Arabidopsis thaliana: one gene and its partner. The protein of the gene in region 1 interacts with the protein of each later gene in a pairwise test. Each region holds a gene or a part of one and is shown in the gene's direction. Other genes may lie near its edges.

Region 1 (5,310 bases):
ATACTAGTAGATCACCACCACTACTATACCAAAAACGTTTCTCTCAAAAACATATATTCTTGTCTACATTTTTAACCCAAGTAAGAGGAGGTAGATAAGATTGAATTAAACCCATTAGATATATGACCGGATAGGTGGCCAAAGGTCTAAAAACCTAACCGCAAGATTTAAACACTAGTTGTTGTTACTTTTGCATTGACAATTGATAATGCAAATTACCCGTTAATGTTTTTTCTTTTATGAATCAATGTAAAATTTATTCGAAAAACTCTTTGATTACAATATATGCAGCTTTAAGCAGAATGTTTTTTCTGAAAAAAAGTATTCCCATTAAGTGATCTTGTGTTATCATAAAAAATAAATAAAAGATAAGGTCATATGTCATCATAACCTGAGCCTAAAGGTAACGACTAACGACAACCGTGACATACTTTTTCATTAAGCACGTTACACGACGAGACTAGCGTAGTACGTGTCGAACTATCCTCATACGTGTTTGATTCACTGCTATAAATAGAACCAATAATAACGATGTTAATATTTGGTTCTTAATCAAGATATTGTGGACCGCTTGTCCATAATTCCCTCGGAAAACCAAAACAGGTATTATATTCAAGATTCGACCTCGTGATTTTGAGGTGCATTATTTTTTGTAGAAGATTTCCATCTTCTTTTTTTCACGGCTCTCAAAGGTTTCCTTGTACACAAGTTACACTACACTGAATAATTTTCTTTATTGCATCCTTTAAACAAACTTTTGTATATTATTTTGATATTGAAATCCACCATATATATGTCTTTTTTTCTCTGTCGCTTCCTATTTGATGCATGTGAATAATTTTCACTACTATATAACCAGTTTTCTAATCATTTTCTCCGTAGTAAAAGACAAAAGTAAATTAACGAAGCTCGTTATAATAATTTAGTACTTACCAAAAAACGTCCAAAAGTTGGAGATAACTCGTTTCCAAGATATTCTACACCTCTTCTTAAGTCTCTGATCCCCAAAGAATAATAATTATTTATACGAAAATATATATAAATATAACATACTGTACAATCCGCTGTCTCAGGACATCCAAAAAAATCATTTATATCAGTAACAAAAAAAACATATCGTGAATATTAAAAAATCATCAAATAAGTGATACCAATGAATTAGTTGTTAACCACAGTGATTTAAAAGACTGATATTTTAATTGATGAATCCTAGGAATGAAAAGTTGATAATTGTATGATCTAATCTCCAATTTCTTTCCTCTTTAAAGAGGTAAAATTGCCACATGGAACATTTAACACCATTCTGAATTTCTGATTCCAGGAACGTTGTCGTATCATATCTACTCGTGTAAGTCTTAGATCGATTTAGAACTTAGAAGAACAACACTTCTTGTTTTATCCTAATTAATACTATAATATATGCATGTAAAATCTTGTTTTTTCTATATCGGGTCAATGTGAATTGATATATTAGTTTGTGAGTGTGTCGGCTTCCGTAACTTACAGGAAGGGTTTTTACTTTTCTTTTTCAGATAATTAATGAAGAAGAAGAAAATACAACCAAATTTACACAAAAATAATGGCAAATTAAACTATTTTGGAACAACAACTCGCACTCTCTATTAGTCCTCCACGTAATGCATGCATGCGTTATTTCTTTTATTTCCTCGGAAAGCACGTACTAATCTTCCAACTTTCAATACTAATACTCGTTTTAATATGTGTCCAAGTAAACATTTTCTGTCCAAGTTCATTTTCAACTTTTGAGTTGTCAATGTTTCTATTTTTCCTCTTTATTTTTGACATTTGTCATTGTTTCCCTATATTAAATTTAAACGATAATAATTTGGTTCGGTTAATATAACGCTACTAAATATATATTTAGAAGAAAATTTAATTGTTTAATCATAATTCAGTTTATTCGACATTTTTATCCATAAGTATTATAATGTATAGTATTATTTTTAGAGATAATCATTAATCAGAGAATAAAATATAATTCTGGTCCATTTAACTTTTAACTATATATAAACCCAATGAAATGAAAACAAAAACACACAAAACACAAACACGCAAACCAAAAGAGATCAAACCAATAATCAAAATACTCCTCATTATATCAGAAAAAAAAAAAAAAATGGGATCTTCATCAAAGAACATCGAACAAGCTCAAGATTCTTATCTCGAGTGGATGAGTTTGCAATCTCAACGCATCCCTGAGCTCAAACAACTCTTAGCTCAACGACGATCTCACGGTGATGAAGATAATGATAACAAGCTTCGTAAGTTAACGGGAAAAATCATCGGTGATTTCAAAAATTACGCCGCAAAAAGAGCTGATCTTGCTCACCGATGTAGCTCGAACTATTATGCACCCACGTGGAACAGTCCTTTAGAGAACGCTCTAATTTGGATGGGTGGTTGTCGACCATCTTCTTTCTTTAGGCTCGTTTATGCTTTGTGTGGGTCACAAACTGAGATCCGTGTGACTCAGTTTCTCCGCAACATCGACGGCTACGAATCTTCAGGTAAGGGTTTGGACGTTTTCGGTTATTTCGGTTTTGAGGAATAAAAAAATAGACTAAATTTAATTTTTTGGTTCGGTAGTCAGTACGGTGCGGCAAAAAATTTTATTGTCTTCCTTCCGATTTCTAAAATTTATTTATTCTGTTCATTTTGCTTATGACAAAAATAATAGATTCTTAGGTTTTATATTAAGTTGGGTTCGGTTTGAATTTGGAATTTGTTCAGTTCTATATATTATACAAATATATTATTATTTTTAAATAAAATTAATCATAAAAAATGATTCCGAACCATAGATCTATACCAAAATTCTAATGGTTTCGGTTCGGTTGGTTCAATATGGTTTGGTTTGACAGGTGGTGGCGGCGGTGCATCACTTAGCGACTTAAGTGCGGAGCAGCTAGCTAAAATCAATGTGTTGCATGTAAAAATTATAGACGAAGAAGAGAAGATGACCAAGAAAGTCTCAAGCCTACAAGAAGACGCAGCGGATATTCCCATCGCCACTGTGGCTTACGAGATGGAGAATGTCGGAGAGCCTAACGTAGTGGTGGATCAAGCTCTCGACAAGCAAGAAGAAGCTATGGCTCGTTTATTGGTCGAGGCCGATAATCTAAGGGTTGATACTTTAGCGAAGATCCTCGGGATTCTATCTCCGGTACAAGGAGCGGATTTCTTGCTCGCTGGGAAAAAGCTTCATCTTTCGATGCATGAGTGGGGAACTATGAGAGATCGTCGCCGTCGTGACTGTATGGTTGACACCGAAGGTAATGCCGGAGGAGAGGAAGGAAAGTAGTCGTTATTATATTAGATATGATACTATAGGTACGTACGTGTCATATTTAAAATTGCATAATAACAAGGTTTTCAATCTTGATATTATAAAGTTATATATTTGGCATATATTCTAGGGATATATAACCCGTATGTGTGTTACTTTTATTTTCTGAAGACTTATGGTAGCAAGGTGCAATGCGTTATGTTAGTTTATATTATAAATAATTAAGATTTTGCTTTGTATAAGATGGATCTTTTGTTTTTTATTAAATGCAGAAATATAGTTTTATATATAATCTTATATAATAATTATTGTTTCGTTATAAGATTGTAGTTTGTAAGGATAAAAAATAACCTTTTTTTTGGTTAATGGATAAGAAATCATTTATAAGTTACATTTTGATGTTTTAAATTTTATCACTTATCGAAGATATATTTGAATTATTCTATTTTTTATAGTTTATTCACGTCGTGGCATTTTGCGAAATACAGTAATATTCGATGCATGTACAACTGTGAATAGTGGCCCACGCCCCACGGAGACGACAAATAATGAGAGAAATTGAGATTTGTGTGTTTACGTGGCAGCAACATGATCTCGTCTCGACAAGTCAGCTAGGAGATTTTTATCCAAGATTGCATTGGATTTTTATATTCTTAGATTTTTCCATTATTATTTTGTGTGGTAGGGAATATTCATAAAGAAAATTGTGGAGTATCTAAATAAATTGTTGGAAGCATCCTTTTTTTTTCATTGAACGCATCCTTTTTTTTTATGGACTTGGCAGATTTGGTAAAAATAAGAGTTCTAGTTTCGAAAATTCAACTGTATCTATATTAACTTAATTTATATCAAACTTAACTCATTAAACCTAACCAAGCTCTATACTTGAGATAAGATTCCACAACATTTCAAGTATTCATAGTGGTGAAATGTACTATAGGGTTAAAGTTTGGATCGCGATTAGTAAGCTCTTTAACTTTAAAATAACATTAAACCTAAGTAACCACTTCATGGTGGAATAATGTTTACATGATTCATTCTATAAATTGATTTGAGTCTCTTCAATGCGATTTGATAACTTAAAATATCTTAATCGCCAAGAATACTAGTTTTTCTACAGATAGCAAGAGATCAAATCTAATCATTCAAATGAAAATAACACTCTAAAACCTACAAAAACACTTCTTATAACTGTAAAAATATATTGCAATCTACCTAGATGACACAATTCTAGATGCCCCCATGAACATGATCAACTTTTCTATGTTTCATATTTATTTATTCCTCAGTGATTGCCTCCCTGGGTTTGTAGTGGGTCGGGCCGAGTAAAAATTGGCCGATGTTAACAATCATATCCATATCTGTATTTGCAACTCCAAGATTTATCCTCCACTTATTTTCGTATCATGACATTTTATGCGACAACTCTTATTTTGAATCATGATTCTTAAGATTTACAGACAGGACCGGCATTGAAGTCCACATATATTTGTAATTACAAAATCTATTATATACACACACAAAAATCTGGGATATTCTAATATTTAACAACAACTAGCCTCCACTATATTTAGAAGAGCCCACTCGAAGCATCACCACGACCACACAAATCTAAGATCTTTTCCTCTTGTATTTGTTTTTAGCATTACTATTTTGATATATGCAAGGTTTAGACCCCAAAAAAAAAGAAGAAAAAATATAATTGATATTTTCAAAATTTGAGCTCCATCTCTTCTAAGCCATGGGAAACACATTCCAAGACGAAGTTAATCAATAGTTCATCCTCTGCTTTTTCATCAAGTTCCTTTGTTCCCTCAAAAGCGTCAATAAATGGATAAAAACGGCATAGTTTTGATGCGAAAATATGAATTAGGTCGTCTTCTAGGTCAAGGCACATTCGCAAAAGTGTACCACGCACGCAACATAAAAACAGGAGAAAGCGTAGCGATCAAGGTGATCGACAAACAGAAAGTTGCGAAAGTCGGATTAATCGATCAAATCAA
Region 2 (4,847 bases), on another chromosome or scaffold:
TAAGCTTCTCCTCCTCCTCGTCTATGAGCTTGGATCGACAATGACCAAAATCATGTTGAATTTTGTTTGCTTCGTTTGTATAGGTACCCAATGTGGGAATAGGTGTACTAAAGCCGACGACTGAGTGTACAGCAGAAGAGTTCTCATTTATAATAGCTACAAATCTGGAGTCAACTTTCCATTTCTCGCAACTCGCGCATCCTTTATTGAAAGCCTCTGGTTCAGGGAACATTGTGCTCATGTCTTCCGTGGCTGGAGTTGTAAATTTGGGTAATACATCAATCTATGGAGCAACCAAAGGTATAATTATACGCATACTCGAACAATTTATGATTCTTTGCTTCTATCGCGACTTAAATAAATGTATACGCATTCTAGGAGCCATGAATCAGCTGGCGAGAAATTTAGCATGCGAGTGGGCGAGTGATAATATAAGGGCTAATTCTGTTTGTCCATGGTTCATTACAACTCCGTCAACTAAAGATGTAAGACAATGAATAAGAAAATACATTTCATTTATAGTATGAAAAAATGGTTTAACTATTTCTTACGAAGTTTATGTGAAAATGTTTCAGTTCCTCGGTGATAAAGATGTAAAAGAAAAGGTGGAGAGTGTGACACCATTGAGACGTGTTGGAGAGGCAAATGAAGTATCATCGCTTGTTGCATTTCTATGTCTTCCCGCAGCTTCTTATATAACAGGTCAAACCATTTGCGTTGATGGAGGTTTCACTATTAACGGCTTCTCTTTGCCTTAAACACGTATATATGCATATATTCATGCTTAAATTTATGTGATTAATTAGTGGTTTCACTGCATATTAATTCATACAAGTTTTATATGTAACTTATGTTGAGGGAGCTCACTCCGTTCATGCCTTCTAATGTTTGGACGAAGAACTCAATCTTTTATCTTATCGGATAAGAAGTTACTTGTGTTCACATTTGATGTTTGTTCGTTTCCAATCGTATTGTGACTTTTGATATATAAAATAATTATTGTATATATTCTACTTATGATATATGATTATATAGTCATGTAATGATGACCGTACGATTTTCAACTCTAGTATCCCTATCTTTAGGGGGTTATGGCTAAAAGCCTAAAAAGATTACTTTTGCTAAAGGAGTAAAGATTATGTTCATAATTTTTTTTAATTTATATAAATTTATTATTATTATTCTCACGCATAACACAAAACAAAGAAAGAATTATCTTCATAATTATATATATATATATATATATATTTGATATAAATTTATTATTATTATTATTCTCACGCATAGCACAAAACAAGTTTCTTCTATATATCAACTAAACTAAAAGACATGTCGTTGGAAACATACTCATATATCATATTCAAGGACTCATAATAATAGACATGTAAACAAAATATTCCTTAAATTTTCTAAATTCAAAAACAAACTATATATGTAACTTGTTATTTAATCTTCTTGGGTATATAAAACTTTATCGCATTTCTTGGATATTTGGACGATGAGAATTCAAATTGCTTTGTCGATGATAAATTTGTTTAATAATTGTTCAGACTGCCATCACAACATAGCTGATTACTGTCATATAAGTCATACATATTATATTTCCGATGATTCTCTGGACTCTCAAGACAATAATAATAAAAATTCAGATATAAGTTTATTAAGGTTTTCTTTGTTAACGTGTTTACTGTCTAGGGACAAACATAAATTATTAGCACTAAACTTGTTAGGTTTTGAAAGTAAACACTGATTTATACCTAAACTTAGGTTATTCATGTAATCAAATGTGAAAACTAACGTAATGAAATTCCTCTAGTTATTTAAATACAGAAAACAAAACCTACCTTGCGGGGAAAAGCATCGTGGCGCGAAAGGAAACTTCCTATGATCCGTCATCCGTGCCGTCTCAATTTGATTGGACCACGAATCTCGCACTCGATACTGACGCCTTACGTGGATTACTTTTTTTATAGAAAGAATTTAAAATTGTTTCTGAAGAGGCAGGTTTTGTGTATAAAATAGAGAATGCAAGTAACGTGTAATGACATTATTTCTCAAATTGAATGGTTTTCGAGCATTTTTATTAACCAGTGAAGCAACCAAAACAGGAATCACCAGTTCTTGAAAGAGTTCATCAAAAAAGAAAACATTTCTTGAAACATCTAAGAAAGAGTTTTGTTCTTCTTGATCAGAAATACAGAGCAAAATCCATTTGAAGACATCAAAGTTTAAGGTTTTTTTCCCCGGATATGGCCGAGATATGTTACGAAGTAGTGACCGACGCATGTCCGTCGTCGGTTTATGAATCAACGCCGGCACATTCACGGCGGAGGCCGAGATTCCAAACGGTGATGCATGAAGATTGGGAGAAGAATTGTAAGCGTAGTAAACAGGAGGCTTTAGCTACGAGATACTCTTCAATTCCTCGAAGCTCTCGGGAGGATTTCTCTGACCAAAATGTCGACGTATCCAGTCCAAGATACGGTGTTTCTTCGGTGTGCGGTAGAAGAAGAGAGATGGAAGATGCGGTGGCAATTCATCCTTCATTTTCTTCTCCGAAGAATTCGGAATTTCCTCAACACTACTTTGGTGTGTATGACGGCCATGGTTGTTCCCACGTACGACTCCGTTACCATGCATTCTTACGTTTTCCGAAATTCTATGTTTTCAGTTTTAGCTGATACGAAATCTTTTTTTTTTCCTTAGGTTGCAGCAAGGTGTAGAGAGAGGCTTCACAAGCTGGTGCAAGAAGAACTAAGTTCAGATATGGAAGATGAAGAAGAATGGAAAACGACGATGGAGCGTAGCTTCACACGCATGGATAAGGAAGTTGTATCGTGGGGTGATTCCGTCGTGACTGCAAATTGCAAGTGTGATCTACAAACACCGGCTTGTGATTCCGTCGGATCAACCGCTGTTGTCTCAGTCATTACGCCAGATAAGATCGTTGTCGCCAATTGTGGCGATTCCAGAGCAGTTCTCTGCCGCAATGGGAAACCAGTCCCTTTATCAACCGATCACAAGGTCAGTTCCGTTCAAAACATGTTCAGTTTCATTTAAGCAATGATTGGATTTGTGGATTAACTTGGAGATTGTGTTCTTTGTAATGAAACACAGCCTGATCGGCCAGACGAATTGGATCGAATCGAAGGAGCTGGTGGACGAGTCATATATTGGGACTGTCCAAGAGTTCTCGGAGTCTTAGCAATGTCACGAGCAATAGGAGACAACTATTTGAAACCTTACGTGAGTTGCGAGCCGGAGGTAACCATAACGGACAGGAGAGACGATGACTGCCTCATACTAGCTAGTGATGGTTTATGGGATGTTGTGTCAAACGAGACCGCCTGCTCTGTAGCGCGTATGTGTCTCCGTGGTGGTGGGAGAAGACAAGATAATGAGGATCCGGCGATTTCGGACAAGGCTTGTACGGAAGCGTCAGTATTGCTAACAAAGCTGGCGTTGGCAAGGAACAGTAGTGACAACGTCAGTGTCGTTGTGATTGATCTCAGAAGATAAGGACACGTAAGTGGACACTAGTCGAAGAGGAAGACAATTTTGCTTTAACTTTCTATATCAGTTTTGCTTTTTGGTTATTCTTGGAATACGTTGGTTGTATACAAAATTAACCCGATTTTATGGAAACCCCGAAAAAGGGTTAATTAATAGAAATGATAAGAATTATTCTTGTCAACCCTAATCCTGTTTCGTGTATGCTTATAATCTTAAATCAAATCAAATTAAGAAGGTCGACATGTAAAAGCATTTTGCTTTAAAAAAGATTGTCAGACTATACTATACCTTTTACTTTTAGGCATTAAGATACTTTAAGAGGTACTTAGTCTCTGCCGCTAGGCAAAGACATGAGAGTAGATCATAGGTTCTAAATGCAATTATGAGTATTAGCAGTATCTAAAGAATAAGAAAAACAGTAAGCAGTAGTAACAACAAGTCCAATAGAAACGAGGTCACGTATAAATTTCAACATCGAATCGACTTCAGACTAGCAGCTTTGATTGTACAACCCAAATTGTAGCAAATAATGATGTTCTTATGACTAAAGTTGAGGAAATGGTAGAGACAAAACAAAAGAAAGAAGGTTTTTTGAGAACAAGACCTCTCTCGGGAATCGAATTTCACGTTTGTTTGTTGTCAGGTTTCTTTTAGGGCCTTAAGTTTTCTGTAACCTTTATCGGTGCCAAAGATCCTGAAGTAACATAGATAAACATATTTACATGTTTATTATAGTTATGACTTCTGTTAAAGTAAGAAACAGAGTTCAATAATTTACCAGTCCATGTAAACAAACGTTGATGAGTAGTTGCCAGACTTTGTGTAGAGTAATCGATGATGGTAGTCATGGAAGTCAGCACTGTAAGCAAATGATTCCCACATTAATATTAAAGATCTGTTAGGTTTAAGGTGTTGCTCTTTCAAGGCAATCACAGGTTAGAAGTCTTATCTTACCCGCCGTATAGAGGAAGAAAATTCGAGGGGCTCCATGGGAAATGATAACCACAATGTGCCTCAACTGTCTCAATAACTCTGAGCATCATCCATAACCAAAGGGTGATCAGGTGAGGCCCGGTGAGAGCCGGACCAACAATGGTAGCAAAACCAAGGAACAGAATTTCAGCGGGATGAGCATATTCTGATGTCAAACCAAACGGTGTCGCGTACCTGTATATAAGTAATACCATAAGATTGTTTATTGAGGACCATGAGTGAACTAACATTGTCAAGCACAAAAAAGATGGTGAGTACTGATAGCTTACTCATGATGCACACTGTGCACGTTCTTGTAGAGCCATTTAGTATGCAAGATCCTGTGACCCCAATAGAATACA

Evidence for each region. The genes of interacting proteins can lie anywhere in the genome.
Region 2: the proteins of DOG1 (region 1) and HAI3 interact in binary tests that used the Arabidopsis thaliana proteins (3 or more experiments, as listed by UniProt).

The regions. Positions count from the first base shown.
Region 1 is NC_003076.8:18,588,228-18,593,537, reverse strand, and holds DOG1 (delay of germination 1), read left to right. Parts: upstream 1-2,031; 5' UTR 2,032-2,041; coding exon 2,042-2,528; intron 2,529-2,882; coding exon 2,883-3,293; coding exon of another isoform or gene 3,294-3,322; exon of another isoform or gene 3,323-3,795; coding exon 3,796-3,869; 3' UTR 3,870-4,100; downstream 4,101-5,310. Other genes in the region: CIPK20 (CBL-interacting protein kinase 20), read left to right, coding at 5,138-5,310.
Region 2 is NC_003071.7:12,606,606-12,611,452, forward strand, and holds HAI3 (highly ABA-induced PP2C protein 3), read left to right. Parts: upstream 1-2,069; 5' UTR 2,070-2,249; coding exon 2,250-2,618; intron 2,619-2,706; coding exon 2,707-3,024; intron 3,025-3,117; coding exon 3,118-3,519; 3' UTR 3,520-3,745; downstream 3,746-4,847. Other genes in the region: AT2G29370 (NAD(P)-binding Rossmann-fold superfamily protein), read left to right, coding at 84-300, 379-485, 576-758; SMO2-2 (sterol 4-alpha-methyl-oxidase 2-2), read right to left, coding at 4,153-4,207, 4,292-4,408, 4,468-4,680, 4,776-4,847.